Linked DNA regions of Diceros bicornis minor. The protein of the gene in region 1 interacts with the protein of each later gene in a pairwise test. Links are inferred from orthologs where the notes say so. Each region holds a gene or a part of one and is shown in the gene's direction. Other genes may lie near its edges.

Region 1 (7,438 bases):
CTTCTTGGCCTCCCCCAGCGACTCGAGGTGGTTGGCGTCTGTGTGGGGCTGCTTGTCCCCGCCCAGTGAGGCTGTTGATGATTTGTGCACAGTGTCAGTAAATGCTGTTTACTGGAGTACTCCGCACTCCAGCAAGGGACAACGGCCTATTGCCTCTTAACGTGCTATCTGCTGCCCCAGTCGGAGCACATTAAGTGGGGATTTCAAACACTGTAAACCGCTTGTCTCTTTCTTTCCTCTTCCTACCCCAGGCCCCGTCTGTGAGCCCCAGAGCAACCTTGATGCCTTGAGAAGGTGGAGGCGGCAGTCAAGGCTCTGATGCCCAGGGAGGCTCCAGGGGGGGCAGCGAGGGGGCAAGGAGAGCATCTAGGAGCACTGACTTTTCTCTGGGGGCAGTGAGGTGTCTACTGGGGGAGCTGGCCTCGGGGAAGCTGGACTTGCTGGGTGGGCAGGGTTGGCAGGCTCCCTGCTCTGCCCTCCGGTGACACCCACAGGGGACCCAGACAGCAGACCTTCAATGGATTTTATTGGTCTTGCACAATGTTCTAAAAATACTGAGTCTACATTTTTAAATTATGCAACTTCACATGAGAAGCCCAGATTTTTGACTCCCTTGAAATAACTGGGACCGCATTCACACAAAACAATGGTGGCTTGTGCCCCCGAGAGACCTCTTGTCCTCAACAGTCTCTAACTACGCTGGCCCTTTTCCACTAGGTCCCTGTAGCAGGTTGAACAGTGTCCCCCCCAAATTCATGTCTGCCTGAACCTCAGAAAGTGACCTTATTTGGAAATAGGATCTTTGCAATGTAATTAGTTAAGATGAAGTCATTCTAGATTAGTGGGCCTTAATCCAATAACTAGTGTCCTTATAAGAAGAGGAGGGGAGAAAGATAGACAAACAGAGAAGAAGGCCATGTGAAGACAGAGGCAGAGACTGGAGTGATGTATTTACAAGCCAAGCAATGCCAAAGATTGCTGGCAACACCAGAAGCCAGCAGAGAGGCATGGGACAAATTCTCCCTCAGAGCCTCTAGAAGGAACCAACTCTGCCCATACCTTAATCTTGGACTTTTGGCCTCTGGAACTGTGAGAAACTAAATTTATGTTGTTTTAAGCCCCCCAGTATGTGGTAATTTGTTACAGCAATTCTAGGAAACTAAGATAGCCCCCTTCCCTTCTTTGCCTGGCCCACCCTCTAGGTATTTTGAGTAGGACACTCCTAAATAGTGGTACATCACCCACTTCTCCCAAATCCCTTCCCTGGATCCGGCTCCCCCTTTTTGGACAGAGGGCCTCCTCTGCATGGCCAGGGCCTCCTGCTGGCTCTGGGCTTCTCCTGACCCCTCTGGCCAGGCCAGCAGGTCCATCTGGAGGGGAGCGGAGAGAGCCAGGACATGCCAAATTTAGAGTGCCAGGCTGATGCAGAGTTTGCCCCCTGACCCCCAGGTTGGGCTAGCCTGTGGATCTGCTTACAGCCTCAAAAGAGAAAACCAGTGGAAAGGGAAGGGGTTTGGAATCTGTATGACCTGACATCATCAATCCCTGGATGTGCCCTCCTGCAGAAGTGCCCCCAATTCCTGCTCCCCTATTCTCCTCTAGCTTGCTGAGGGTGACTCTGCTTCCATATCAGAAGGCCAGGGGTATTTATCTAGAACAGTGGGTCTCAACGCTGGCCAGTTATGTTGGCATAATCTGTGGCGTTAAACAACAAATGTGCCCAGGCCCCAACTGAGGTACTGAATCAGAACAAGGACTCTGTTTTGTTACATTCTGCAGGTAATTCTGCTGCGAGTCAGGGCTGAGAAACACTGGCCTGTAGGGCAGGGTCTTGTTTGGGCTCCCCGGAAGTGGATTCTGAGGCAAGGATTCAAGTACCCGCAGTGTATTTGGGAGGTGACCCCGGGAACACGGGCGGAGGAGTGGGGAATGGGGCAGGGAAGAGAAGGAAGCCAGCACGAGGTGCATTACAGAGCTGGGTACCACCGCGGGCAGCTGCAGCTCAGTCTCGCTGGGGAACTCTGGGAGCTGGTGTGGAACATGCCAGAGTATCCCACCTGGGTAACTATCCATTCCATGAAGGCTGCTTCCGGGGCACCAATTCCTTGGCGCTTCTGTCTTGCCCCTGCATGTTCGAGCATATTCCCACAGCCAGAAGAAAAGCCTCAGGCAGTGTCGCATGTCTTCTCAGTAATCCGCCTTTTGGCGTGTAGAGGTATGTGCCCAGGGAACAGGGCGTCTGCTATGGGCGAACAGTGACAGGAAAAAGCATAACCACATGCTGCGAGGGTTCACAGATGCCAGGCAGTGGGCTGTTTACAGGCATCGACAGGCTCAATTCTCATAACCACCTTATGAGGCAGGTTGTAAATGGCCTGATTTACAACCAAGGAAACTGAGGCAGAGAGGTGGTACCCAAGGGTACATGGGATGCGGATTCACAAGTGTTCTCCTAATGTCTGCAGCACAACAGAGAGCAAGCAGGACCATTTACACTGAACTTTCCTGCAGATGAGTGGCTGACAAGAGGGAAACAGACTCTGAAAGGAAGAGACAGCTGGGTGGTCTGGCTCAGACAGTTTCTTTCGCAGTTTGCCCCACACCTCCCTGCCCAGCCCGGGCCTGCCATCCAATGGCAGCGGTGCTCTCCCCCTGAGCATCTCAAAGCCTATATCCAAGAGGGCAAGACCCAGAGGGCGTGGGGAGTACCCTGTCCCACCTTCTGAATTCTGGCTTCTGGCTGAGGGAAGGCCACCTTCCCAGAGCACAGCAGACACAGCCATGCCTTTTGAGGAGACTCCATCTACTCCCCTCCCCTTTGGCCTAAAATACCAACCAGGTGTAAATTCGACCCTCTGAGCTTGTGTGAGAGACACACACAATCGGAAGGGCCGTTTCATTCCTTATTGTAGCTACGGCTTTCGCCTTGACACCCAGGACTTAAATTATTGCCTGAGTGTGTGGCTGATGTAGGCACCCAGGCACAAGGTGTGATTCAGAGGCCCAGCAGAGGTCTCTGCCCTCAGATATCTCCTTGGCCAACCTGCCGTGATGCCCACATTTCCTGCCACAATTCGTCACTCTTCTGCACGAAGGCACAGTCAGCACGTCCTTGTTCACTGCAAATTTGTTACCTAGCTGGAGCAACACATTAATCCGTCAACACCAATTCATCATCGGTTTTCACATTAGCAGAGAGCAAAGCGATGAGATAATGGAACACGGGACAGGTGAATTTTGATGAAAAAGGAGCAGGAAAAGGAGGAGCATGAGTCACTGCTGGTGAGAAATGGCTCAGAAGAGGGGCTGGGAGGTGGGCTGCGCAGGCAGCAAAGGGGATGGGAGGGGTGCTGGTTGGACAGGGCCAGGGCAAGAGGAGGGGAATAAAGGTTTTCTCTTCTCCAAAACCAGGCTGCAGCGTCACTGCCTGGGATGGAAAGACCCTCAGGGTCATCCATGTCATTTTACACGTGGTCTGAGGGCTTGGGCTCTTCCTAGCCAGGGGCTTCCATGTCTGCTCCTGGCCAAGGTCTCGTCTCCAAAAGTGCTACTCCTGCCTCAGCGCTGTCCTCAAATCCAGGCCTGGCTCTGGGAGCTGCGCTGCCTCGGTGTGCGTGCAGGATCCCTAACCGTCTCTGCAATGGAAAACACATCTCCAAAGTCAAAACGGGGAGGGAGGTGGGGGCACATAAACGCGTTATAGAGAGTCTGGGCACTCTCATCTCATAGTAGAAAAACTGAGGCCAGGAGACTCCCCTGACTTGCAGGCACCCCCGCCGGTTCATGGAGGATCCCAGACTAGAACCCAGGACCACAGGCCCCTGCTTCTGGGCTCAGCGGAAGAGCCTGAGCGCCACAGGCCGAGTTTGAACTCAGATCAGTAAGCAAAAGGGAGCCGCGGCGGTTTCTGACCAGAGAGGCCAGAGGATGGTGAGGCTTGCAAAGCGAAATCAGAGGGAGTGTGAAGCGACCAGTGCAGAAGCCCACAATGGTTGCAGAGGCAGCGGTCCGCGGGAGGGCCCTGGCACCGGGCGGAAGGGAGGGGGTCTCCTCCTAGCACTGACCTCCTCTGTGCTCTGCAGGAGCCGAAGCAGCCCTCGGCCCTAGGGGCTAGTGGCACCCAGGATGCTTCCGAAAGCAGGGCCCCGGGAAGTTGCACCGCTGGAGGGAGGCACAGAGACCTTCGCCAGCCCGCCCAGGTGCCCCGCCCCGGGCCGGGAGGGCGCACTGCTGGGCTGCGGCCACGAGGTGGCGCCGCGCGCCGAGGAAGCGCGGCGGCCGCTCCCGGGCCGCCCCAGCCGCGGTTCGGCCGCCTCCTCCGAGGAAACAATGCGGCGCCTCCAGGTGTAGCGCGGCGCGGGCCGGACGCCGGACACCGAGCGCGGGCAGCCGAGCGAGCGAGCGGGCAGCAGGGGGGGGCGCAGGGCGCCCCCGCCGGGAACCATGAGGGCGGCGCGGCGCCGGGCCAGGGAGCGGCGCGGCCCGGAGGCGCCGAGAGCCGGGGCGCGGGCCCGGGGCCGCCTGTAGCCGGCACCGAGGGCGCGGGCCCGGGGATGAGGGCGCCCGCGGCGGGGAGCCCGTCTGCGCGCCGCGGCGCCGTCCCGCCCAGCGAGCGAGCCCGAGTAGGCAGACGCGCGGCCGGCGGTCTGGGGGCGCGCCGCCTCTCGGCCCCCAAAATGTGAAGCGGGAGGGCGGAGACGCAGAGACGGCCCGGCCGGGCGCCCTCGCCGCCCTCCGGCAGCCGCGCCGCGCCCTTCGCCTGCCTGCCGAAGCCGAGCCGATCCCGCGGGCCGCGGCCCGAGCAGAGAAGCCCCGCGCCCCCGCGCCCCCGCGCCCCCCGCCTCGCTCGGACCCGGTTCGGCCCGCGGCGGAGCAGGGCCCGGGACGGTGCGTCTGGCCTCGCCCGCGGCTCGTCGCCCAGACAAGTTTGAACAATGATCACAGTGAACCCCGATGGGAAGATAATGGTCAGAAGATGCCTGGTCACCCTGAGACCCTTTCGGTAAAGTTCTCTCCCGGTTGGCTCGGGGAGGTCTCTTTCTCCGAGGGGGCGCACGTAGGGGTGGGCGAGGTCGGTCTTCGCGAGGGCATCTGTCCGGGTAGCAGAGGGGGCAGTTCGTGCTTCACCCCTTGGTCAGGGCCAGTGGGGTTGGGGAAAGGACTGGGGCTGGGGTTCGGGTTCAGGTGGGGAGGGTGTGTAATTCTGGGACGTGTCTCGAGTTGGTGTAGGTTGGAGAGGACTCGGGGTGCGACGGTGGGAACGGGGGCAGAGAGCGCTCAGGTTGTGGTCCTGGGCCCGGGAAGTTGCCCCAGCCAGGGCGCTCCTTCCCTGACCCTCGGGGTCTTTCCCCACCTCGCGGACCACCCCACCCCAGCGGCGAAGTTAGGGCGCGTGCCGGGCTGCACCCCCACCCCGCGGGCCGTCGAGCCATCGGTCGGCCAGCCCGCTCCCTCCGCCTGTGCCGCCCCCTTTTCCCCCGCCTTTGGCGCGCACTCCCCATCTCGTGGCGGGGTGCGGGCTTGCCTTCAACGGGAGGGTCCCTGAGATTGGGGCAAGGACACCCTCTGCTGGGGATCTGGCTTCCGATCGCGGGCAGTGGAGAGGCGGGGGCAGCGGCGGCGCTGCGGGGGGCGGAAGGGCGCGTGAGCCGGGACCACGGCGGGAGCGTGGAGGCAGGATGGAGGCGAAGACCGATCCCCCCCCCCCCCGCGCGGCCAGGCCAGGCAGGTCTCTGGCCGTGCGGGGCTGACCGAGCTCTGCTGGTCCCACCCCAGGGGCCTCCAGAGCCCGGTGGTTCCAGGGCAGCTCCCTCCCTCCCAAGAGCCCGCGGAGCCCAGCCTGCAGTCGGGGCTGGGGAGGGGGCGCTAGGCGATGGGTGCCCAGCGGAGTCAGAGTGCCATCTCGCCCGGGGCTGGGCGGCGCAGGGCGCGGGGCCTCGGTGGGGGCCGCACTGTGGACCCGGCCACAGGTGGGGTCCGGGCTCGGGACGGAGCCCACGAGGGCAGGAACTGGTCAGGCGAGACTACCGAGGCTTGGGCTGTGGGAGAAGCCACCTTTGAGCCCTTTCCCTCTAGCCCTACGGCCAGAGCCCTTGCCCCTCCCAGGCCCCGGCTGGACTCCCTCTGGGCTCCGACGGGGGCGGGAGACCATGGCTCACATGGCTTTGGTCTCCGGATGGGCCGGGCCTGTTGTGAGGCCTTGAGGAGACAGCTGCCAGGACCGCAGAGGTCATGCTGGGCCACCGCTGCCCAGAGGATGCAGGAGGATCGCAGAGCTGGGGGTCCCGAGGGTAGGGCGTTTGGCAGGTGATTGGGGGCTGTCAGGAGCCCTTGACGTAAAGTTCCCATGGGAAGCAGGGCGGGAAGTGGGCATCTCTGGAAAGGGCCTGGCTCCTCCAGGGAAATCCTTGAATCCCTGGCCTGACCCGGACTGTTGGAAGAGTCCTTGCCCCATCTTTCCCACCCAATGTCGGCCCAGCCCTCTAAGGCCGCGGGAAGCCCAGCCGCTGACCCCAGCTTTGTCTGGACATTTCTAGGCGCAATCGAAGGCAGCGGGATGCCAGCACCACGGACAGCGCTGGCTCCCCTGCATGGCTTCCCTCTGGGGTCCTGCCAGTGGCTCTTAGCTGATGGCAGGATTCTGAGGTGGGATAGCATAGGTTCCCTCCCCACAAATTATGTAACCTCAGGGTCTCCGTAGGCTGCCCAGAGACCCACAGCCACCAGTGGAGTTTTCATATCCCGTTCAGGTGGGCGGAGGTGGCCTCCAACCACATCACCGCTGTTTGTTAATCCTCAAGGTCCCTATTCCCTCTGGTTCCCAGAGCCTCTGGCAGGGATCTTATTGTCTAGCTGCTCCTGGAACATTGCTTGAACGGATGCATGGGTGGATGAAACCATTTTAACTCGGGTCTACTGTAAATGGCCATAGGATTGGGGTCTGGCAGAGAGAGATGCAGTTGAGGTGTGTTGGGGGCTTCAGGTTCTGGGCTAAAGGTTTAGATGCTTTTCTCATAGCACCTCTTTGGACCCTGGCAGCCCAGATCCCCAGCTCTAAGTACAGCCCCATAGCTGGGAAGGGGGTGGGGGAGTGAGGGACAAGAAAGTTGAGGGGTTCGTCCTTGTCCTCAGGCTGGGAGGACAAGCAGCTGATTCCCCCAGGATCTTCCTGTGTGTGCAACCCCCCTCCTCCTGCACTGTCCCTCTGGCTGCTGTCCTGAGACCAGCCTGACTTCATCTTAGGAATCCCAGGGCCTGAGCCCACCCCTGGGGTTGGTGGAATTCAGTGAGGGGTCCTTCGGTGCCATCTCTCCTGTCCTCCCTGTCATCTCCTGGGGGAAGCTCCCAGTGCCCTCACTGCTTCTCGGCTCTGCCCCCTCTCTGATTTAATTTTTAGCAGCTTCCTTTAAATGTGGGTTGGAAATTTTGTTGTGCTTTT
Region 2 (7,564 bases), on another chromosome or scaffold:
GTTCCCTCGACAGTCCTGTAGATATTTCAGCTGACAGCTTTGACTTTTTTACAGACACACTCACCACAATTGACTTGCAGCATCTGAATTACTAAAAACATTAAAGCAAAACAAAGCATCACAAAACAAAAACCCCTTTGACCAGGTGGTTTTGCCTTCTTTTATTCTGAGAGTTGATTTTTCTTTTATTTTCTTCCCAGCCTACCCTCTCCCTCCTTTAAATGTTGACGATTTTCTGTTTAGTGATTCCCCTGACCCAGTTTCAGAGCCATCTTTTACAGATTATTTTGGAGTTTTAGTTGTTTTAAATCTCATCCAACAACCCTCTATGTGATTTCCTGAAAGCAATATATGAGGCCTGCAAGAAAGTGATCATATAATTGTATCTTCACTTTCTTTTTATTTTTGTATTACATTAGGATGCATTGTCATGCGTATTTTTTGGTAGAATAAATTCTCCTTTGCTATAAGTAGCTTTCTTATTTTTTTCTCCCCCTCTTTCTCAAGGCTCATAATGTTTTCTTTTTCTTCGTTTAGTCTAACTTGGTAAATAAAATTCTGGTCACGATTCATCTTTTTCAATTTTAATATATTTATTAAAGGAGCATGTTTAAAGTCATCAATAAATAGCAACAAAAAAGAAAGCCAGAAAATGGTTAGGGCTTCTGAGAAATGTTTTGCATTTTTTTTTAAGGGAATGGATTTGGTTTTTTAGTGTAGAGGTTCAAGCCATAGATTTAAACTGGTAATAGAAACAGGACTGGGCAGCCTCCGAGTTGGGCCAAGCCCAAGCTTCTGAAAGTGGAGAAATAAAGTGCCTACAGAAACCCCCAATTCCAGGTTGGAGGAACATGGAGTTTCTTTAACAAGCTACCAGTCTCCAGTCAATAACATAATAAGTTATCAACAATTCATTTATTTATACACATTTGTTTCAAACATCTATATTCCAACCCCCTCCCCCACATATCCCGCACATTTTCAGTGTGGTGGATTAGTCTCCCAGCTGTTGATGGGTCCAGGCAAACAGACCTAAAAGAGAAAAACAAAAATAAAACAAAACAATGGTTACTAGCTGGAAAATACATTTCAGAAAGGGTTCTTTCCAATTCTCTGGTTCAGTCATTCTAGGATTCGTTTTTTCAGGGTCATAAAATCAATATTTCATTCTTAAATCTGTTTACATGGCAAATAATGGATCATGAAAGCTTTGAAGTCAAGTTAGTAAGTTGAGATTTCAAATGGAGTGTTTCTGCACCCTAGGTTATAAATTAATCCAGTTTCTAGAAAGAGAAAGAGAAAAAGCACTTTAAATGAAATATCAATAAAATGTGATCTAGGGTATGTTACTGGGTTGTTCTGTTTTTTTTTTTCTCCCTTCTAAGTCTCCCCATGTTTATTTTTCTCCGTACTGAGCTGTTCTGATGGCTCCTTACTTACCGTGAGAAAACGCAGCGTGTAAGCAACATGTGTGGGGGCGGGTTGATTTAAGAACCCGGCTCTTAATAGCAAAGGCTTGGAAGTTACAAGGAAATCGCGGTCTTTCTCCGTGGGTTTGCTCCCTACCTTTCCCCACCTCTTTGCCCCCTAAATCCCCGCAGCGGCGGAGGCATGTGAGGACCCCGGCAGGTCTCCTGCCCTAAGCGCTGAGCGAAGCAGGGCGGCCCGGCCGCGGCCGGGGCTGAGCCGCTGCCGTTTGCGATTCGTCCTACGCTCATAAATCAAACGCTTTCCATGAATGAGAATGTCATCAAAGAGATCAATTGCAGGAACACATGCACAAATAAAAATCCTCTTACGTATTTGCCGGGGATCCCCGTCCGAAAGCATTAAGTTAGAAGGCGTTTAGTCATAATTCATTTTTATTGCTCTTTTAAAACAACAGCTTGGCTGAGCCGCGGATGCCATGAACAGCTCCGGGCCTCGGCGGCGTTTTGTCTCCTCCTCGCTCCTTCCCTTTCTAGTAGAATAGCCCTGAAAGAGGCGCTTTGAGCCCAGCAAGCCGCTTGCAGGCGATCATTTAAATAGGGACCAAGCTCGCCTATTCACCCACTCTCCGGTGGCGTTTAAAGACACTTCAGCTCGAGTCGTGGGGCCCCGGCCTACTTGTCCACAGGACCAAGGGTCTCCTACGCGGGGGAATGAGCCCCTGGATTTCGTGGGGGTGGGGAAGGAATCGAGGTACGGAAGCCTGCGGGCTCGAGGCCAGAGGAGGCTGCCTTTGTGAGCGGCACCGGGAAAGCAGCGCTCTGGGCGGCCAGCCGGGGCGGAGCCGGCTCAGCCGCGAGAGCCCGGCCTGCAGGGAGCGGGAGGCAGTGCTGGGAGGCGGGTCGGTCGCCGACCCGTGTGTCTGCGGGCCTGTGTGCGACTGCAAGCTTGTGATCTCAAGAAAAACAGCCCACCCACCCTGGCCCAGAAAAGAGGCCTGGAGGGAGGAAGAGAGGTGGAGGGAGAGGCGCGCAGAGGCCGAGAACTAGCAGAGGAAGGAGAGCGGTGGAGGCCCGGGGCGGCTTTGTGGCGTGAGCCCTGTGGCCGAGGGGGTCGCGCAAACCTGGGCCGAGGAGGCCAACAAAAGGACAGGAATGAGGCAAGCGGGGAAGAACGTACCGACAAGCTTCGGCTCGGAGAGCATATTGTCCGCAGTGCCAGCCCCTCACGTCCTGCCTCCTCCCCCACAGGAGCGCCTTCTCTCCCCGTCGCTAGAGGACTGGCTCTCCCAAGGAAGCCGCCTCCAGGAGGGCTGCCTTGCCTTGCCTTTTCCCTTCTCTAAGATGAGGTTCCCCAGGTGCAGAAATTGGGGCAGGAGTGACCTTTCCCGCCTCTGCTCCCTCTTAACCAAGATTGGGGATGGGTCAAAGGTCACAGGAAAATACCATTTCAAAAGGAAATGTTTAGGGAGAATGTTTCTCTGCTACTGAGGGAATCCATAGTCAAATGTTTGCAAGAGTTTGTCAGCAAATGTCCCTCTTGCGGGGACAGGTTTGGGGGGAACTTCTCTATGTGGAGAACAGAACGCAGAATCCTGAAAAGTTGACTAACATTAAGGATGTGCCTGCCTCAAGCAAAACTTCCTTCTTCTAACTGGGGAGGGAAAACTAGAGGGGAGTGGGAACCCCAAATCCACATACAATCCTCAGGTACATTTCATCTGTCAGATTCCCATGGGGTAAACATGGTCAGAGAAAAATCTATACAGCCTTAGCTGCAAAGCTTCTTGGATGATCTCTGCATTTCTTTTACCTAAGAATGCATCAATTCTCGGCCTCTGTTTGGCCTTTTCTCTCTACAAGCCAAGGGTTGACACGAAACCTAATAGTAAACAGCAATTAACGACCCCATCAGCATCAGGGTAGGATGAGAGTGATGGAAAACAGGACCCCTGGCCTGGGATGACGCTGAGATTTGCACGTGTCTCTCTGGGGAAAGACTTGAAGGTTCACTCAAGCAACTACACAGTCGGTTACAAAGGGGAGGAGGTGGTGTTGGGGGAGAAGAAAACGTCCGGTTCACCATCAGCCATCTGTCTACCGCCCCTCCCACCTGCCAGCCCCCACTCCCACTTCAGACGTGCAGTAGAATGGGGTGTGGATGGATAAAGGAAGCTCTACCACTCCTAATATCCTCCCCCAGAAAAGGCGAAACGTTGCGGGGGAGTTCAGCGTACTTTGTTGGAGCTGTGGTCTCACCCCTTGAGGCCCCCACCGGAGCAGCGCTCAGGCTCCTGGATCCTGGGGAGCCGGCAGATGGCCTGCAGCGCACGGCCCGGCCCCCACGCTGGCCACGTCCGCTAGCGTCATCTCTCTCCCCCGCCTCCTACCCCTCAAAATCCAGTGTCCGAGTATCTCCAGATCTCGTAGGGCTCCCGGACCAAAGCTGAGTGGGGAGGAGAAAGGGGCGGAGAGCGAGGAGAGAGGGAGGGCAAAGAGCCGGGCCACCCGCGGCCTTTTCCGGCAAGCGTAGCTCCTAGGGCTCACCCGTTCCCGGGCGTCGAATTACAGAAACTCCTTATTGCCATGTTAATAGCCAGTGTGTGTGCGTCGGAGTGGGGGGAGCTTCGGAGACCCTCCGCGGAGAAGGGAAGTTTCTTTTCTTGCCCTCGTCCCCTCCACGCCCACCCAGGTTCCTCCCAGCCAGCTCTCTGCGCACTTCCCTCTCCGTTCAGAGGTTGGAGAGCTGGTGGCCCAGCCTCGTGCGCTCCTCACTGCCCCACGGCACCACAGCAGGAACTGTGCAGTGAAAGCGCCCGGGGACCTGCCCTTCCAGCTCGGCGCGCCTCCGGGCTCAGCCTGTGTGCTGGAGGCCGCCAAGCGAGCTCCGGCCCACTGATTCCCGACCCAAGAGAGAACGGAGCCCTCTTGTCTTCTCACCTCTTGCCAGTTCATCTTTCTTTGCATGGTGGGGAGGGAGGCGGAGACGGGGGATGCCTCCAGGCCCCCACCTCCTGGAGGTGGGGGGGGCGAGCGGCGTCGGCGCGCGCAGAAGGCAGCCTCTGTTCCCCTTCACCCCAGCGCTCCGAATCTGCCCTTGCAGCCACCGCAGCTGCTGCCGCCGCCTGGGCTGCCTGGGGGGGCGACTGCGCGTCACCCAGACTGAGGAGCGCCGGGGATTTAAATGCCACTGAAACGGTGATCCATCACCGCGCGAGCCAGCAAACTTTCGCAGGAGGCTCCGCCATTGGTTTATTTAGTCACGTGCCCCTCCCCAAGCGCCCTCCGCCCTCCCGCCCCCCCTCTGGCGCACTGTACATTCATATCATTTTTCTTCTCCGGCCCCATGGAGGAAGTGAGAAAGTTGGCACGGTCAACCAGGGCTTCACAGGACCCGGTCACTCAGTGACAGATGGACAATGCAAGAATGAGCTCCTTCCTGGAATACCCCATCCTCAGCGGTGGCGACTCGGGGACCTGCTCAGCGCGAGCCTACCCCTCCGACCATGGAATTACAACTTTCCAGTCGTGTGCAGTCAGTGCCAACAGCTGTGGCGGCGACGACCGCTTCCTAGTGGGCAGGGGGGTGCAGATCAGCCCGCCCCACCACCACCATCACCACCACCATCACCACCCCCAGCCGGCCACCTACCAGACTCCCGGGAACCTGGGGGTGTCGTACTCCCACTCGAGTTGTGGTCCAAGCTACGGCGCGCAGAACTTCGGCGCGCCTTACAGCCCCTACCCGTTAAATCAGGAAGCAGAAGTAAGTGGTGGGTACCCCTCGTGCGCTCCCGCTGTTTACTCTGGAAATCTCTCATCTCCCATGGTCCAGCATCACCACCACCACCAGGGTTATGCCGGGGGCGCGGTGGGCTCGCCTCAGTATATTCACCACTCATATGGACAAGAGCATCAGAGCTTGGCCCTGGCCACGTATAATAACTCCTTGTCCCCTCTCCACGCCAGCCACCAAGAAGCCTGTCGCTCCCCTGCATCAGAGACGTCTTCTCCAGCGCAGACCTTTGACTGGATGAAAGTCAAAAGAAACCCTCCCAAAACAGGTCAGTCTTGCCATTCTGTGGATGCTTCTTGATGATTCTGGAAGGAGCTGGTATGCTTAGTTTCCAAGTAAAATTAATAACGGCTTTTTTTAAAAAAGTTCTTGCTTCCTACCGGTGTTGTAGGGCATGGGCACATTGCCCAGGTGTGTTGGGGCAAAGGAGCATCTGGGACTGTTGTGTTTCCAAAGAGGCTGACTTTTAGAGGTTCTGGGAGTAGGAAGTGGGTAGGTCTGTGTGTGTGTGTGGGGGGGGGGGTTCTGTTAATATCTCCAGGCTCCATTAATCACCGGTCTGACCACGCTAATGGCTGACTTCAGATTAACACTTTACACCTCATCACTCACTCTCCCCAGCCCGGTTTGTGGAGAAATTCTTGATCTCGCCTTTACCTGAATGTTGCTCTGAAGAGTGTAGGGGATTTCATATCGATTGTAAAAATTTTATCTTTTTCTCTTTCATCACTTCCCACCCTGCCCCCAGGGAAAGTTGGAGAGTACGGCTACGTCGGTCAACCCAACGCGGTGCGCACCAACTTCACCACGAAGCAGCTCACGGAGCTGGAGAAGGAGTTCCACTTCAACAAGTACCTGACGCGCGCCCGCAGGGTGGAGATTGCCGCGTCCCTACAGCTTAATGAGACCCAAGTGAAGATCTGGTTCCAGAACCGCCGAATGAAGCAGAAGAAACGAGAGAAGGAGGGCCTCTTGCCCATCTCTCCGGCCACCCCGCCGGGAAGCGAGGAGAAGGCCGAGGAATCCTCAGAGAAGTCCAGCTCCTCGCCCTGCGTTCCTTCCCCAGCGTCTTCTACCTCAGACACTCTGACTACCTCCCACTGAGGCCGCCCCCAGCCCCAGACTCCACAGCCCAGGCTACTCCTCCGGCTGCGACTTCTTACCCAAAGCACATTCTTAGCTTATCTTCCTTTCCATTTACAGCCTCTCTCTTCCTTTCTGATCCTATCTGGGGAGCTCCTGGCTAGAATAATGTGTTTCCAGAGAATTCTAGACTAAAGGTTCAATTGGTGGTGGTGGTGATGGTGGGGCGTTAACTCCTTAATGCAGATTGGGTGCCAGCATCAATTTTCTGGTGGTCCTTAATACCCCTCCCTACTTTTGGGAGATTTCCACAGAACTTACTGTTCCTTTCAGATGCCCTTTGGAAAATAGTCTTCTTTGCCAGCAGAAACATGTCAGAGGAAGGCCTCTCATCTTTTATCTATCTGTATATTTACAGTTCTCCCCTACTTTGCCCTTAAAGTAGGATGGAGAGAGAGGAGAGATTCCAGGAGCTCACGAAGAAGAGATGCACTATGATCATGTTTACACAATTAATTCATCTCTTAATTTAATTGTTTCATGTGTGTGAGTTTGCTGGTTGTAAATACTTTGTCCTGAGAGATTTATCTTTATACAGATTTTCTAGAAACGTTTAGATTAAGCAACTAAAACAGGGTGGGGCAAACTCTCAAAGCTGGTACAATTTTAGATGTGATTATAGGTTAAACAATTAAAGCCCTCATTTAAACTCAATCAGATGCCTCCGAGGATAGTCTCAATTTCTTCTTTCAGTGAGTTCAGAAGGCCTGCAGAACACAAGGTTCAGAAACCTTGCTTCCTGTGCTGTCTCTCTTCATCCCCACCCTTTCTGGTTTCTCTGGCCACACTCTATTTAAAATTTGTGCTGGATTATTGGGAACCTAAAAGTATTCTTCAAATCAGCTTCTTCCTTCCACAGTTATCTTAGCTGGATATGATTTATTTTCAGCTCAGTTGTTAATGTGATGGATGGCACAATGAATGTATATTTTGTGTGATTCGTGAATAGTCTTTTGCATGTCGCACAATGTTTTGATGTCCCTAAAGTACCACACTGAGTTCTATCAGTTATTCTTTGTGAGTCTATGATATTCCCCATTTCCTGTACAATCATGAACAGCTCTGAGATCCTGGAGTGATGTGATCCAGAGCAGAGTTTACGGGTCTTAAGATGTCTGTAATAAATATATTCAAGTTTCAGATATGTTTAAGCATCTGTTTGGCTTAGTTATAATCTGTTGGTTCCTACAAAGTTGGT
Region 3 (6,941 bases), on another chromosome or scaffold:
GCCTGGTCTGCACGAGGCCGGCGGGGTTGCAGGCCGTTCTGCCCTCCCCTTTGCTCCAAAAGGCCTTGGCCTCTGAGGATCCTCAGGCTGCCCACTGCCAACATGGTGTGGGGGACATGGCCGTCTAGGACCTTCCTTCTGCTCAGCGGCGTCCCCCGGGCCCGCCTGATGCAGCTTCAGTCACCCCGGCCGCACGTGGTCTCTGCCCTCCGCTCCGCGCCCCAGAGGGCCTCTTCAGGGATGCCTTGGGGGGTGCACACGAATTTCTCCCCAGTTAATTGAGGGAGAACAAGGGCATTGCTGTCACCTCAAAAAAGCGATTGCTGGTTGCCCCACCGCCTCAAAGATATTTGTTCCCCCCTTTCCATCTGAAGCTGGTCGAAGAGCGCTGCCGAGAGGCACGGACAGGGTGACAGCTGAGAAGTCCCTGCGCGAGGAGAGGGGTCTCGTTTTCCTGCATTTAAAGTGTTTTCTGCACGCCCCGGCCTCCAGCGTCACCGTAGTCTCGATTAAAACGGCAAAATAGGAACCCTGACCTTCAGCTCCATGAGAATGCAGCAACGCAGAAAATTTCCTGATACAGTATACATCCGGGACAAGATGAAACTGTCGTTTTGATTAAGCGTTGCTTGCGGTGAGGAGCAGCTACCAGGACTGCCAGATGTGGAGGCAGAACATCCTCCGTTTCTCAGCGAGGGCACCTGCATTCTCAGCTTTTAGATGTACACGCACCGTGAGATTGTGTGTGCGCCGAGCGAGAGAACCACATACGCACATTATCTTTCACCCTTTCGCTGTTAATACCTGTCACAATTCTACCCGGTTAATTGTGGTTTGAAAACACACACACACATACACACACACACACACTCCCCACCCAGAGCAGAACGCGAGTGGATCCAGTCTAGTGAGGTTACATTGACTTGTAATCCTCCCCCCTCCCTTTCCAATGTCTTGGATGATTTTTCCCATAAGTGTGTAAGCCGCCGGGACTTAGCAGAAGTGGGCCGCTCCTCCTAAATGTGATTCGGACCATATGCTTTCTACATTCATTCCCGCTCCGGCTTTTCTTCTCCGCACTAACTGCTAACACGTTATAGTCACCTTGAAATTTCCTCTGCTATTTTCCAATTAAAAGCTTAATAGCCCTGGAAACGGAGTTCATGTGGTGAAGTTTACCATAGCCCCTTGTTCTGAAAGGCTTTCTGCTGGGATCCCATTATGTGCTTGAATAAACCCTTTCTGCAAACAGAAATGGGACTCCGGGTTGTCAGGTGTTGGGTTACAATAGACTTTGAGGCAGGGGACATTTTACCAACATAAATACAAACCTGTCCCTATAGGGAGATGTTGTCAAATACTGGGATATGGAAAACATTCCCATCAAATATGAGAAAAGGATTATTGCGCTATATCAAACGAGTATTTAGATCTCAGCCCCCGATGTGCACTGAAGTGAAACAGGGCCCTGGGACCAAATAATGCCAGACTGTTTGAGTGGCAAAGGGATAGGGTGGCTAGGTGACCGAGAGGGGAAAGGGGTTGTCTTGGAAGTGGGAATACCCCCCAAACCTCTGCTTTCCTTTAAAATTCTTTACTCCCAAGTTCCTTATACTCCCGGGTTTCCTTGACCATTTGGAGAAAATCGGGAGAAATTTGGCTTTGAAAAAAGTCCATGTTCCTCACGTTCCCAAGCGACCCGGAGATTTCAGTGGGGAAGTTCTCAGATTCAGTGTCATTCTAGGCCCTGTACGTCTCATCACGTGAAGCGACTTGCTGCCCCACTTCTTGGCCTCTGGCTCACCGGGCTGCGGGTGACCTCTGCCTCCAGTCCCGAGAGGTTATCAAGTTCCTTCTCGTTGTAGTGTTTTAGGGCTTTTCTTCCTAGCGAAACTTAGGAAGAGAGGAGATATTGAAGCGGTGGTGGGGTGGGGGGTTTAAGGGGCAAGACCCCAGGGGTCCCTGCCCGACGCAGCTTCGAGAGGAGGCCTCCCAGGGTTATCGCTCTCGTGCAAGAGTTTCCTGCAAAGGCCCCACCAGGTCAGCCTCCAGCGATCCCCAACTCCCGGACAGGTCTGAAACTGGGGACGGCTAAGGGCTTCAAAGGAAACACACACAACCGTGTTCCCTTTTTAAACCTCTTCCCCTCTCAGAATCCCTCTTCCAGGCGGAGGGTTGGCTAGAAGAACGCCTGGCTGTGCTTTTACTCGAATTCACAGCACAGAGACATTTTCGGATTGCTTGTTTCCAGGCAGTGCAGAGAAAAGTGGCCTCTGCGAGGGTACAAGGGGCGAGGTGCAGCCTAACGGTTGGCCACTGCAGTGGACTCATCTATGCTCTCATCTCGCATTCGATTCGCTCAGACCGCCAAGAGATGAGCTCAGTTTCTGCTCTCAGAAGCCTGCGGACCGACGGCTCCGGGATTGCCATCTCCACGGCTTCGCACTGAGGCATTGTGCTACCCTGCGCCGCTGTATCCACCTGTTTTTAGTTTTCGTTTTTTGATTTGGGGGTCCCTGTGCATGTGTAGCGGCAGTCTGCATTAGGCCAAACCGGTACTCGTAGGAGATTAAAAACACGCAAATAACAGTTTAAACAAAGTTTTATGCTATCCAAAGACGCTGGGAGGAGTGGGGGAGGAAGTGGCCCCATCCTTTATCCATAACTAAATCACTGAGTCCGTGGGGATTTGAATTGGGTGACGAGAGGCCTCCGTTTGATGGTTCAGCGGCTACTGGGGCGAGGGGAGATCATATCCGGTAACTTTGGGGACGCTAACGTGGCTCCTTCGTCCACGCTGAAAGTTTAGACGCAGCACTTAAGCAAATCCTCCACACGAGCAGACAGAGGATTTCAGGACAGAGACTTGTTTTTATCAAAACGTGGGGAGGAGGGTAGAGAAACTCCGCGCCAGAGAAGGAGGGCTGTTTTTCCCTTTGAAATAGCCTGCAAAATGGGTTGTCATCCTTGGGCCAGCAGGTTTTCAACACTTTCTTCTACAGCAACAAGATAAAATATGTGTTGCAAAAGGAAATCAAGAGCGAGCCGAAATTTCCCGAACCAGTGCCCTACAACCAGTGGCCGTGCGTGGGGCCAGGCTCGCCCCAAATTAAGACCTTCTCGGCTCATGCCGGGTCCCGAGAGCACCCGCAACGCTCCAGTAGGCCCTGGCTCTCGCGAGCCGAGTTTCTTCGGCCAAACGTTGGGATAAAAGCGGCCTCGGGCTCGGTGCCGCCAAATTAGGCCTGCAGGGAGAAAAAGAGAGGGTAGGGGAGCGGCCGCCTCACTCGCCTACAGGCACCCCACCCTCACCCCCGCCAGTCCTCCCCTTCCCCGCCCCGTGCGCACCGCCGCATCCCGGCGCGCTGCAGTCCCTCCCGTCGCGGGCAGGGGAAACGCAGAGCGCTAGGAGGAGGGGGCCGTGAGCGCCCCCGCGAGAGTGGCCTGGCTGCAGGTGGCAAGGAAGGTGAAGTGCAGGGACTCGAGGGGCGCGAGGAAGGAGGAAGGCGTGGAGTAGGGTGGGGAGTGCAAGGAGACCAGGACCCCGGGGGTGGGGGTGGCGGTGGGAGGGCGGAGGAGTTGGGGGAGGGCGGTGGAGGAGGTGCTGGGCCCGGCCTGCGCGCGCGGGAGTTGCGGAAGAGCTGGCTCAGACCTTAACCCGAACTGTCGCCGGCTCTTTGCAGCCGCCGCAGCGCCGCGGCGAGGGAGGACGTGCGGGCCAAAGCAGCGGCTGGCGGAGACGCGACCGGCGTGGGATTGGCGGAGTACCAGCGGGACACTGAGGCTGCGAGCGCCGCGGGAGCCGTAAAGACGGCTGCCGCACCTCCGGCCATCCCGGAGCGCACGCGGCCGCCGGGGCTGCGGGACCAAGGACCCCGCCATCCAGCGCCCCCTGGCCTGCTCCCGCCGCCAGCCCGCAAGCTCTTCCGGGAGCTCGGGGCATGAACGGCTACGGCTCCCCCTACCTGTACATGGGCGGCCCGGTGTCGCAGCCGCCGCGGGCGCCCTTGCAGCGCACGCCCAAGTGCGCGCGCTGCCGCAACCACGGGGTGCTGTCCTGGCTCAAGGGCCACAAGCGCTACTGCCGCTTCAAGGACTGCACCTGCGAGAAGTGCATCCTCATCATCGAGCGGCAGCGGGTCATGGCGGCGCAGGTGGCGCTGCGCCGGCAGCAGGCTAACGAGAGCCTCGAGAGCCTCATTCCCGACTCGCTGCGCGCTCTGCCCGGACCCCCGCCGCCGGGGGACGCCGCCGCCGCCCCGCAGCCGCCGCCGAACTCGCAGCCGTCTCAGCCGCCGCCTCGTCCAGCTGCCGAGTTGGCTGCGGCCGCCGCGCTGCGCTGGGCTGCCGAGCCCGCGCCCGGGGCGCTGCAGGCACAGCTCGCCAAGCCAGGTAAGAGCGTCTGCGGGGCGGGAGCCCGGCCAGGCGCGTGGGCAAAAACTTCCGAGCTCCTGCTGAGGCTCTGCCTGGGAGGCCTGGGCGGGCCTTCCCCCACAATCCCCGCCAAGCCAGTTCTTACTATCTGGGCAGAAGCCGGCCTTCAGTCTGCCTACCGCGCGGGTAGCATCCAGGCGCCCGCGGGCGAGCCAAATGGCTGGATTCTGCGTCGGGATCGCCAAGTGCCTTGCCCAGGTTAAAGGTGAACGTGTCCGTTTCAGCGGTAAAGAGATCGAGACCGGACCCGGTTAAAATCCAAGCGGGCACACATACCACCGCGCGGCTGGGCTTTTCTGACTGCGGTCCTTAGAGGGCCTTGCATTTGGAGGTAGGGACGGGTAGGTGCAGGGAAGGAGGCAAGGCCCAAGGCTTGTCTGACTTTGAGTTGGGCGTGCTTCTCGGCCCGGGGGAACTAGAGCGAACCTGAAGCCTTTCTAGTAGCGCTCTGTGGTTTCCACTCTCTTGCAATAGCTGAAAGAAGCCCCATTGAGAAGCAATAGTAAATAAAGGGCCAGAAAGGCGCCTGAACGGATAGCGAGGACCCAGAATCTGGCGCGCCCAGAGTCAACTCCTTTTGCAGAACCGCTCAGGTCTTTTAACACTGTTCCTCAGGCTACCCTCATCTGTTTCTGTGGTTTAAAAAAATAAAACAAAACTTAACCGACAGTGAGGAAGGCCCCCTCTGGCAAGCCCTTTCCCCGTTCTAGGCGGGGAGATCTGCTAAGCTGCCAGTTTCGAGCAAAGGATCTCTGAGTCCTCTTCCTCTCTTCCCCTCTCATCTCCTCTGCTGTGCTTTAGAGAGAGTTTCCCCTGAGCCCTAGAGGTGGACAGATTCCCCCAACCCCCTGCTTCCATCTCCTTCCCTCCTCCAGGCCTCCTGAGCCTGCAGGCTAGCAGTTGAGTCTCTCTCCTCCTGGGGAATCTCTAGCTTGCTGTCCTGCCCAGCCCAAGTGCTCCTTTGATTTTAGGATCTTGGAATTCAATGGACATGTGTTTAGTGTTTTCCCTTCACTGGGGCAAATGTATAAAGGAAAAGAGGCAGTCCTCTTGGGGAGGGGATTAGAGGATATGCTGAAATTCGCAGAGGGAAGGCCTGGAAGGCCCAGAGTCCTGTGTAGGTGGAACTGTGGTAGAGCTTCTGCCTACCCCTCCACCCTCCAAAAGGACAGTACCTCTAGCTTCTGGAGAGAGGCTTCCAGGAGCATTGAGCTGCTGTGTGGAGCTGGGGAAGTGCAGGCTTATTGGTTGGGGAGGGAGTTGATAGGCAGCCTGGCAGGCATAGTTGTGCTGCCCTGTTGCTCAGTTATGCTCTCTAAGCCTGAAGCTCTGAGAACATCTTATGTGAAGAGCACAACTGGGTATTTTAAGGACGGAAGAGAGTTTGCTGAGCATGGATTTTGTGGCTATTTAATCCAAGGTAGGGTATAAGCATTTTTCTGAGTAATACCCCCCCCCATTGTGTCTTCAGTCTGATCACTTCTTATTTGTAGATTTGCCACAGAGGAATGGAGGGTAGCGTGTTTTGTTTTTCTCTTTTAGGTTAGAACAAGTAACTGGGAAAGTGTCTCAGTTCTGGAAGTTGATCTGTGCCAATAACTTCCCAACCTTTCTGTTTCCAGTTTCCCTGTCTCCATTTCTCCCAGCACCGGGGCAGGAGTCTGAGTTCATGTCAGTGGTAGCATTTTGCAGTGGCCACCTGCCCAGCAGCACCCCTGTAATAGGGCATTGGGTTCTGGGGTCCTTGTCCAAGAGGGGAATCTTCTCCCATCCTATGCTTTTCAAACCATTCTCTGGGATAGCCACGTTTGTGGTTTCTAAAGAGCCACAAAACCAACAACCCTGGGAGGCGACTTGTGAGGGCAGGAAGAAAAACCCAGTAGCAGCTGCAGCAGCAGCAGGATACATAGTTTGGGAAAATAAAAGAGGGAGACTGATTTCAACTGGACAAACCAGACCTGGTGCTCTCTCTCACTCGCACCAAGTATTCAGGGATAGCCTGAGTCCTCCAAACTGAAAACAAGTGATTGCAAAGGAGACTAGGATTTATCACAGGGAGGGGTCAGAGCGATGTCTCAGGGAGATTGAGCCATCAGGGGCCAGCGGCTCAGTTTCCACCTGGTCATGCTGCATACCTTGCACATTCATTTATAACTTTCGTTTTCTTTTTTAAATTGGTTTGACCCCATAATCTCGTTCTTTAAAAAAAAAAAAAAAGGCAGCCAATCATCAGTCTGATGAGGAGGTCAAGAAAAGAAGATAATTGTTTTCCACTAGGAAGGCAAGCACACAAGTGGATCATTTCTGTGCAATGCTTTGTAAAAAGGCCCATTTGGGGTTTAAGTTAGAGAAAAGTGCCTGGGTGAGACTACCTGTTGCTGTAGGTATTAGACCTTTTTTTGCAGTTGTTCTTATAATGTATTTGTATGTAACATACCATACATATTTAGAAGTATACCAGAAACTCCTGGATAAGTAGCTCACTACAGGTAGAGAACTAAGTGAAG
Region 4 (6,222 bases), on another chromosome or scaffold:
GGTTTTCCGAGGACAAGGGTAGGGGTGGGTGAGGTGGAAAGGGGTGGAAAAGAAGCACTACAAAGGGGCATTAGGAGATTATGGGGGATAATGAACATAATTATTATCTTGAGTCTTGGTATATACAGATGTCAAAACTTATCAAATTGTACTCTTCAAATATGTTCAGTTTATTATATGCCAATTATATCAATAAAGATGATAAGATATACAGGCAAAAGCAGGAAGTTGAAAGAGACCTTGTAAAAGTGAAAGGGACAGAATTCAGTCTTACCTATGAATAATGGAAGGAATACCTCCACCTACCTGTCTTTAATACAGGTATAAAAGGATGTGTTAATTAATACAAAACAGTTTCCTAACATCATCTGGGGAAAGTTCTTGTGTATGAATGAAGTGGGAATGAGTGGAGAAAATTTTGTTCAAATCATGTATAAACCATAATTTTCACACTCAAGAATGTTATAATATAATAAAAATTCAGTTGAATGTAGATTACCACCTGATAGCCTTATCAGTTACATAAACTCTACATTGCTGATCAGGGAATTACTTAATTCTTCCAGCTGACTATAATTTAAGATTTTATGCATGGCATCCAACAGGGGGTGCTAAAATTAGGCCACTTCATTATGTTGTAGGTTGCAATGCACTGACTCCAGATAATTGGTTGTCTTCTCTAAGCCAAGCTACGATGAATATTAATCAGTGATATTAGAATGGGCAGCAGAAAAACTTGACAAAGTGTCTTCAGTCCCCCTGAACCTCTTTCTATCTTCCTGTTCTTTTATATTCCTTGAAAGTTGACCTTCCCTGGTAAAAATGCAAAAATGGTGAGAAAAGTATATAAAAGAGATTCTTGACTTGACTAAGTAAAGGTCAATTTTTATTTGATAAAGAAAACCTAAGTTATATTTTGTGAATGCCATGATATTAGTCATCAAATATTTACTAAGGATCGACTAAGTTTCCTCACATGTATTGAGAATAATGATCACGCCTACTCAAATAGGGATGCTGTGAGGATTAAATCAATTAATACATGTAAAATACATAGAACCGTGTCTAGTACATAATAAGGATTCTGTAAACAGTAGCTAATAAGAGTTCTGTAATATAATCAGGAAATAAGACACATAGAGAAAGAACATTTTGCTTGCAAAGCAAAGGAGTGTGTGTGTGTGTGAAATAGGTAATGATAAATATACAAATTTAAAGCTGGAGAGATTTAGATTGGTAGGAATGTATTTACAAAGAAGGGGCTAATTTAGCTGAGGTTTGAATGATAGTTAAAATGAAAGAATTATTCCAAAGGAGAGGAAGAATAGGATGAATGAGGAGATGATGTAAAATGAGGATGGATGTGGAGTAATTGGAGACACGAACAGACAACCCAAAAAGAGAAGAGAATCTCTATTGGGAAGCAGAGGAGGGCTAATCAAGTGTTTGGACAATTCTCTGTGGACAAAGGGGAGTTATCAACATTTTTGAGTAAGAGAGTCATACGATAAAATTAATTCTAGAAGTATTAATCTAAATGCAGTATTCAAGCTAAAGAGAAGACAATAGGAGGCAAGATGGCAGTGAGAAATGTATTTGTTCACCAAAGGGGAACAAAATCCAACTTGAATGATGGCAGTGATAACAGAAAAGGGAAAATGGATGAAAAGACATAATTTTAGTGATCAAGGAAGAAAAGCCTTACAACAAATTTTCACTCTGTCCAATCTATGCTGCAATTTAATCACAGCACTCTCTTCTTGAAATCAGTTATTGGATCACCACACCTATAGAACAAAATCTTAACTACTTCCTTGATGATTGGATTAGATTCAGCGTGTGAATCTAGGTTTAGTTACTACAACTTGCGTCTAAGAACCCTTCACTGAAAGCACTGTCGTCATTTTTTCTGCCTTTATACCTTTTGCTACAGCCTGAAGTGTCTTTGTCTTTCCCAAACCCTCTACCATTTTCTCTTATCCTTCAAAATCAATATCAAATGCCAATTTTAGGTGAAGCCAATGAGCAACATTTGCTCTTTTCTGTACACCATTTATAGAACTTAGTAAGCACTGACATGAATTGTGTACTTGTCTTATCATATATACAAGATTGGATGTGTCTGGCAGCAGAAATCAATGGTATCTTGGTATTATTGCAAGCATCTATCATAATGTTTTGCATATACAAGATGCTCAACAAATATTTGTTGAACGAATGAATGCAAGGTATGTCATTTATTGACATACCTTTATTGTTGCAATGCTCTGAGGATTCTTTACGTCTAAGAGAGAGAAATTCAGGATTGCTTCTCTACAGTAAGACAGGTAAGGACCCATAATTCATTGAAGAAACAGTAACAAAGTGGGTAAATCTGGAGGAGCACACAGGATGCCCAGTTCTTTAGTCTACCTCTAGCTCTTACATCAGAAGAGCTTGAAACCTGTAGTTTATAGGAGCCTGCTAATGACGTACCTGCTGTTATGCCTACATGAGCTCTTCCCTTTTAGTGACTCGGTCACTATCAAATAACATCAGTTCAACATTTGTTATGTTAAGGTACAACTTACATTCAGGGCACTCTATTTTCTGAAATTCCATGGATATTTTTGCTGTGTTACCCACCCACAACAACAAAAAAATGCAAGTCTTGTAGGGCGCTCTAAAGGAATTAAACCCAAGGTGGTACTCTTTAGAATGGATTAAGGATGCCAAAGCAAGAAAATAAATTATTCTGGTATAGTGTTTTGCAGTACACATTTAACTTTTTCTTATATCTCAATGTATCCTAAAAATGATACTAGACATTACTAATATACCCATTGTTCCATAAAATAATACTGATAGGGACTGGGGATCAGAGTAATTATGAAAATTGCCCAGGGGCACATAGTTAGTAAATGATGGTATCAACATATCTCTATATAATGTCATATCAGATAATGGGACAAAAAACTGTTTGCGGGTTAAGGACCCCCAAGCAAATGTTCAAATGTTTGAAACCCTTTTGTTCAAATATTTTTCTTCATTTCAATTACTGTAAATTTCTTCATCTCAAGTTTTCTCATGAATACTTGAAATAGTAAAATTTACTGTAAAGAGTTGTGAGGATAAAATGACATTGCACATGTGGGTACCCGCACTGCAAGGTGTTGCCCAGAGTAGACGCTAAATGAAGATCAGTTTCCTCATATTCTACATCCCTTCTCTTCATGGAAAAACATTCATTATACATAATGAATACATAACATAAACAATACACACACACACACAAATATATTGATGTACTAATGATGCAGGTATTGGGCTCTTGCTTATGTTAGAGAAGAGCAGGCACAAGGAACATCAACATATAAATCTGATAAGCATTCAGTTAAATATAGCTGTACCTATTACTAACGCCATTTAGCTGAGGCCTCCAGGATATCACAAGAAGACTCAAGCAATGTGTACCAAGAGTACCAGGTGACAAAGCTGGGGAAGTGGGGATTGGGGTTGGGGGGACTCCTCAAACACATCAGGTACAAATCATCAAAGGGTATTGTTCCCTGACCTAAAATACTGAGATAATTTCATCCTGTCAGTACAGGCCCTCAGAGACTGTATCACGTTCTTTTCATATTTCTATCCTTGGTAGTAAAATAGTTCTATATTGGCTTGTAGAGAAACCAATCTTCTATTTCAAAGATTCTGCTCCTGGACAGAGGGAGACTCAATCCATGTGGGCGTTTTCGTTAAACATTAAAATAGAAGAAAGTGCTGTGATTTCCGTTGAATTTCTAGCTAAAGGGCATTGGAAATCAGATCCAGCAGATAATTAAAATTTCCATTAAAATAGCCATTGGAGCCACTAGATATGTTGGTAGATGAAAAACACAGTGAGAAGATTGAGGCTAAATGCAACCATGTTTTCTAAACCAGTTTTTACCAGAAAATATATCCCCAAATTACCTTCCAAGTACTCATACTTAGGAAAACTTTACATTTATTCTGATGCTATTGCTCATGTAAAGCAGTTTAGAAACTCCTCTCTGGAAATTGATATGAGAACCAATGGAAGAAGCAGAACCACATCCACGTCCACGTCTTAATCATTATGTCCCTTTTTTTCCCAAGAATAGTAGTTTTCAGTTGGGACGTGAGTAACCATGAAATACATAGCCTATAATAACTATGAAAAATGTCATTTGTTCAACTTTCTTTAAGTGGTTTTATTTGCTTTTGTCACAGAAGGATGTATAATTTTAACTGAGCCCAATGTATTTATCTGTATTAAGAATACTTTAAACATCAAATAAGCTTTCAGTTTGACTCAGTTTATTTATTTATTGAAATGAAGAAAATGGGCTTGATTTTCTAAAATGAAGATATTTTGGTGGGAAGTCACTTTCTACCAGGATTCAACAATAAAACAAAGTACAAATTTGGGTGCATTGACATTTTCCATTTTGTACTACTTTTAAACTCTTTCTGCCCCAAACCATATAGGTTATAGGATTTTTTACATTCTTTTACAACATACTTGCTTTTAAGTTTCTTTTTTCGACAATTTCCTAAAAGAATAGAATTTCCTCTCAAAGAGAGCTAACTTGTCATTGTTTCAAAGAAGTATTCTACAACTTTTGAAGACAAATCCAAGAGAGGCATTCTAAGAATGTTTAGGCAGAGGTGGTTATAATTGGAATACGTGAATGACCTTCAAAAGTATCTGTTTGGGTTGGATAATTTAAGAAGGAGAGATCCTATTAAAATTCAGTCACTCTGCTCTGTAGAAATGATGGAAGGCCTTGCCAGGAACATCCAGTTTTATGAGAGGTGGGAGCACCACTTCCGGGCTATAATGAAGAGTTCTGAGGCAGCCTCACACAACAAGGAAGAAGAGAGTCTGTATACACGATCATCACCTTCCAGGGATATATAAGGGATCAAGCCAAACGAGGGGCACAGCGAAACTTGAGACACTCGCTTCTTTCCAATCAACCCCAGCCTGCTCTCGGCACCTCACCATGTCTTGCCACAACTACTGCTCTGGAAGCGACAGCTTGGGATCCCTCAGAAATCTGTGTCATATTCCTCTCACCTCCTCCATTTCCCTCTGCTCTACAAATGTGAGCTCTGGAGATGTCCTCTGCTTGCCCAGCAGCCATCAAGACCACACCTGGCTCCTGGACAACTGTCAAGAGACCTGCAGTGAACCAACCAGCTGCCAGCCAGCCAACTGTGAGCCCAGCAACTTGGAAACTTCTCACTGCCCCTCCACTGCTTACTACGTGTCCGGACCCTGCCAAGGAACCACTTTTCTTCCGGCTGCTTCTTACGTCTCTAGCTCCTACCTCCCAGCATCTTGTAGACCTCCGAGGTATGTGTCCAGCAGCTGCCGACCCCTGCGCCTCCTCCCTTACGGATGCCGCCCCTTGGGTTGTTTGCCCTGTGGTCCTCAACCCCTTAGCGTCGTGTCCAGCTGCCTCAGACCTCTGCATCCTCTCTCCATTGGATACCGACCTCTGACCCATGTGTTCAGCACTTGTCATCCATCTTGCTCTCCACTGGGAGGCCAGTACCCTCCTTGTTCCAGTTTATAATCATGCTGAAGATCCAAGGCAAAAATTCCAACTCCATGGACTTTTGCTTCTTTCCTAGTAGTGACTGCATTTTCTTGGTTTTACTGTGCCTGATCTAATGCAAGCTGCTCTTTTCACATTTTTAACTCTTTTTTTCATCTCTCTCTGACATCAAATTATTTGGTTTACAATGTTATTCATATTGCTTGGGTGTGGGAAGAATTTCTTTGGTTTATGCTGTAATAAATGAGATCAAATCAGAATTAAGATTCTGGTTCTTCAATTTGTCTTTTATTTCTTCATTTTAACGGAGAAATGACCAACCTCAACTTCTTGCAAAATAAGTAACTAGGACTTGGGACACTCAAACATATGTTCTTATCTGACAATAGGGGTATGGCTTGATGGCTTATTCTTTGAGCTGCTTTCTAGATCTCGCCTCCTACGTACTTGAGAGACCCCAAATGTTCTTGGTGGAAGTTATTTTGAAAAGGCGAGATTAGGAATGATCTCCTTATCTCTGTCTTCCAGTGAACATACTTCCACCAGAATGTCCTTTCTAATCACAAACTGAGCCATATTTCAGGCCTGCTTAAGCGTTTGATGGCTTCCTATGATCTTTTCCCACAAAATAAAAAAAACAAACCCCTTACCATGACAT

Evidence for each region.
Region 2: the proteins of MGAT5B (region 1) and HOXA1 interact in a two-hybrid assay, tested with the Homo sapiens proteins (2 studies listed by BioGRID). The two-hybrid records come from large-scale screens. The link is inferred for Diceros bicornis minor from reciprocal best matches to the Homo sapiens genes MGAT5B and HOXA1.
Region 3: the proteins of MGAT5B (region 1) and DMRT3 interact in a two-hybrid assay, tested with the Homo sapiens proteins (2 studies listed by BioGRID). The two-hybrid records come from large-scale screens. The link is inferred for Diceros bicornis minor from reciprocal best matches to the Homo sapiens genes MGAT5B and DMRT3.
Region 4: the proteins of MGAT5B (region 1) and keratin-associated protein 26-1 interact in a two-hybrid assay, tested with the Homo sapiens proteins (3 studies listed by BioGRID and IntAct). The two-hybrid records come from large-scale screens. The link is inferred for Diceros bicornis minor from reciprocal best matches to the Homo sapiens genes MGAT5B and KRTAP26-1.

Annotation. Positions count from the first base shown.
Region 1 is NC_080757.1:57,054,326-57,061,763, forward strand, and holds the start of MGAT5B (alpha-1,6-mannosylglycoprotein 6-beta-N-acetylglucosaminyltransferase B), read left to right. Parts: upstream 1-4,423; 5' UTR 4,424-4,934; coding exon 4,935-5,002; intron 5,003-7,438. UniProt on the Homo sapiens protein: Glycosyltransferase that acts on alpha-linked mannose of N-glycans and O-mannosyl glycans.
Region 2 is NC_080742.1:51,929,146-51,936,709, reverse strand, and holds HOXA1 (homeobox protein Hox-A1), read left to right. Parts: upstream 1-4,548; 5' UTR 4,549-4,839; coding exon 4,840-5,491; intron 5,492-5,971; coding exon 5,972-6,327; 3' UTR 6,328-7,506; downstream 7,507-7,564. Other genes in the region: HOXA2 (homeobox protein Hox-A2), read left to right, coding at 1-95. UniProt on the Homo sapiens protein: Sequence-specific transcription factor. Regulates multiple developmental processes including brainstem, inner and outer ear, abducens nerve and cardiovascular development and morphogenesis as well as cognition and behavior.
Region 3 is NC_080761.1:25,499,188-25,506,128, forward strand, and holds the start of DMRT3 (doublesex- and mab-3-related transcription factor 3), read left to right. Parts: upstream 1-3,941; coding exon 3,942-4,392; intron 4,393-6,941. UniProt on the Homo sapiens protein: Probable transcription factor that plays a role in configuring the spinal circuits controlling stride in vertebrates.
Region 4 is NC_080766.1:31,087,033-31,093,254, reverse strand, and holds keratin-associated protein 26-1, read left to right. Parts: upstream 1-4,939; 5' UTR 4,940-5,006; coding exon 5,007-5,582; 3' UTR 5,583-5,719; downstream 5,720-6,222. UniProt on the Homo sapiens protein: In the hair cortex, hair keratin intermediate filaments are embedded in an interfilamentous matrix, consisting of hair keratin-associated proteins (KRTAP), which are essential for the formation of a rigid and resistant hair shaft through their extensive disulfide bond cross-linking with abundant cysteine residues of hair keratins.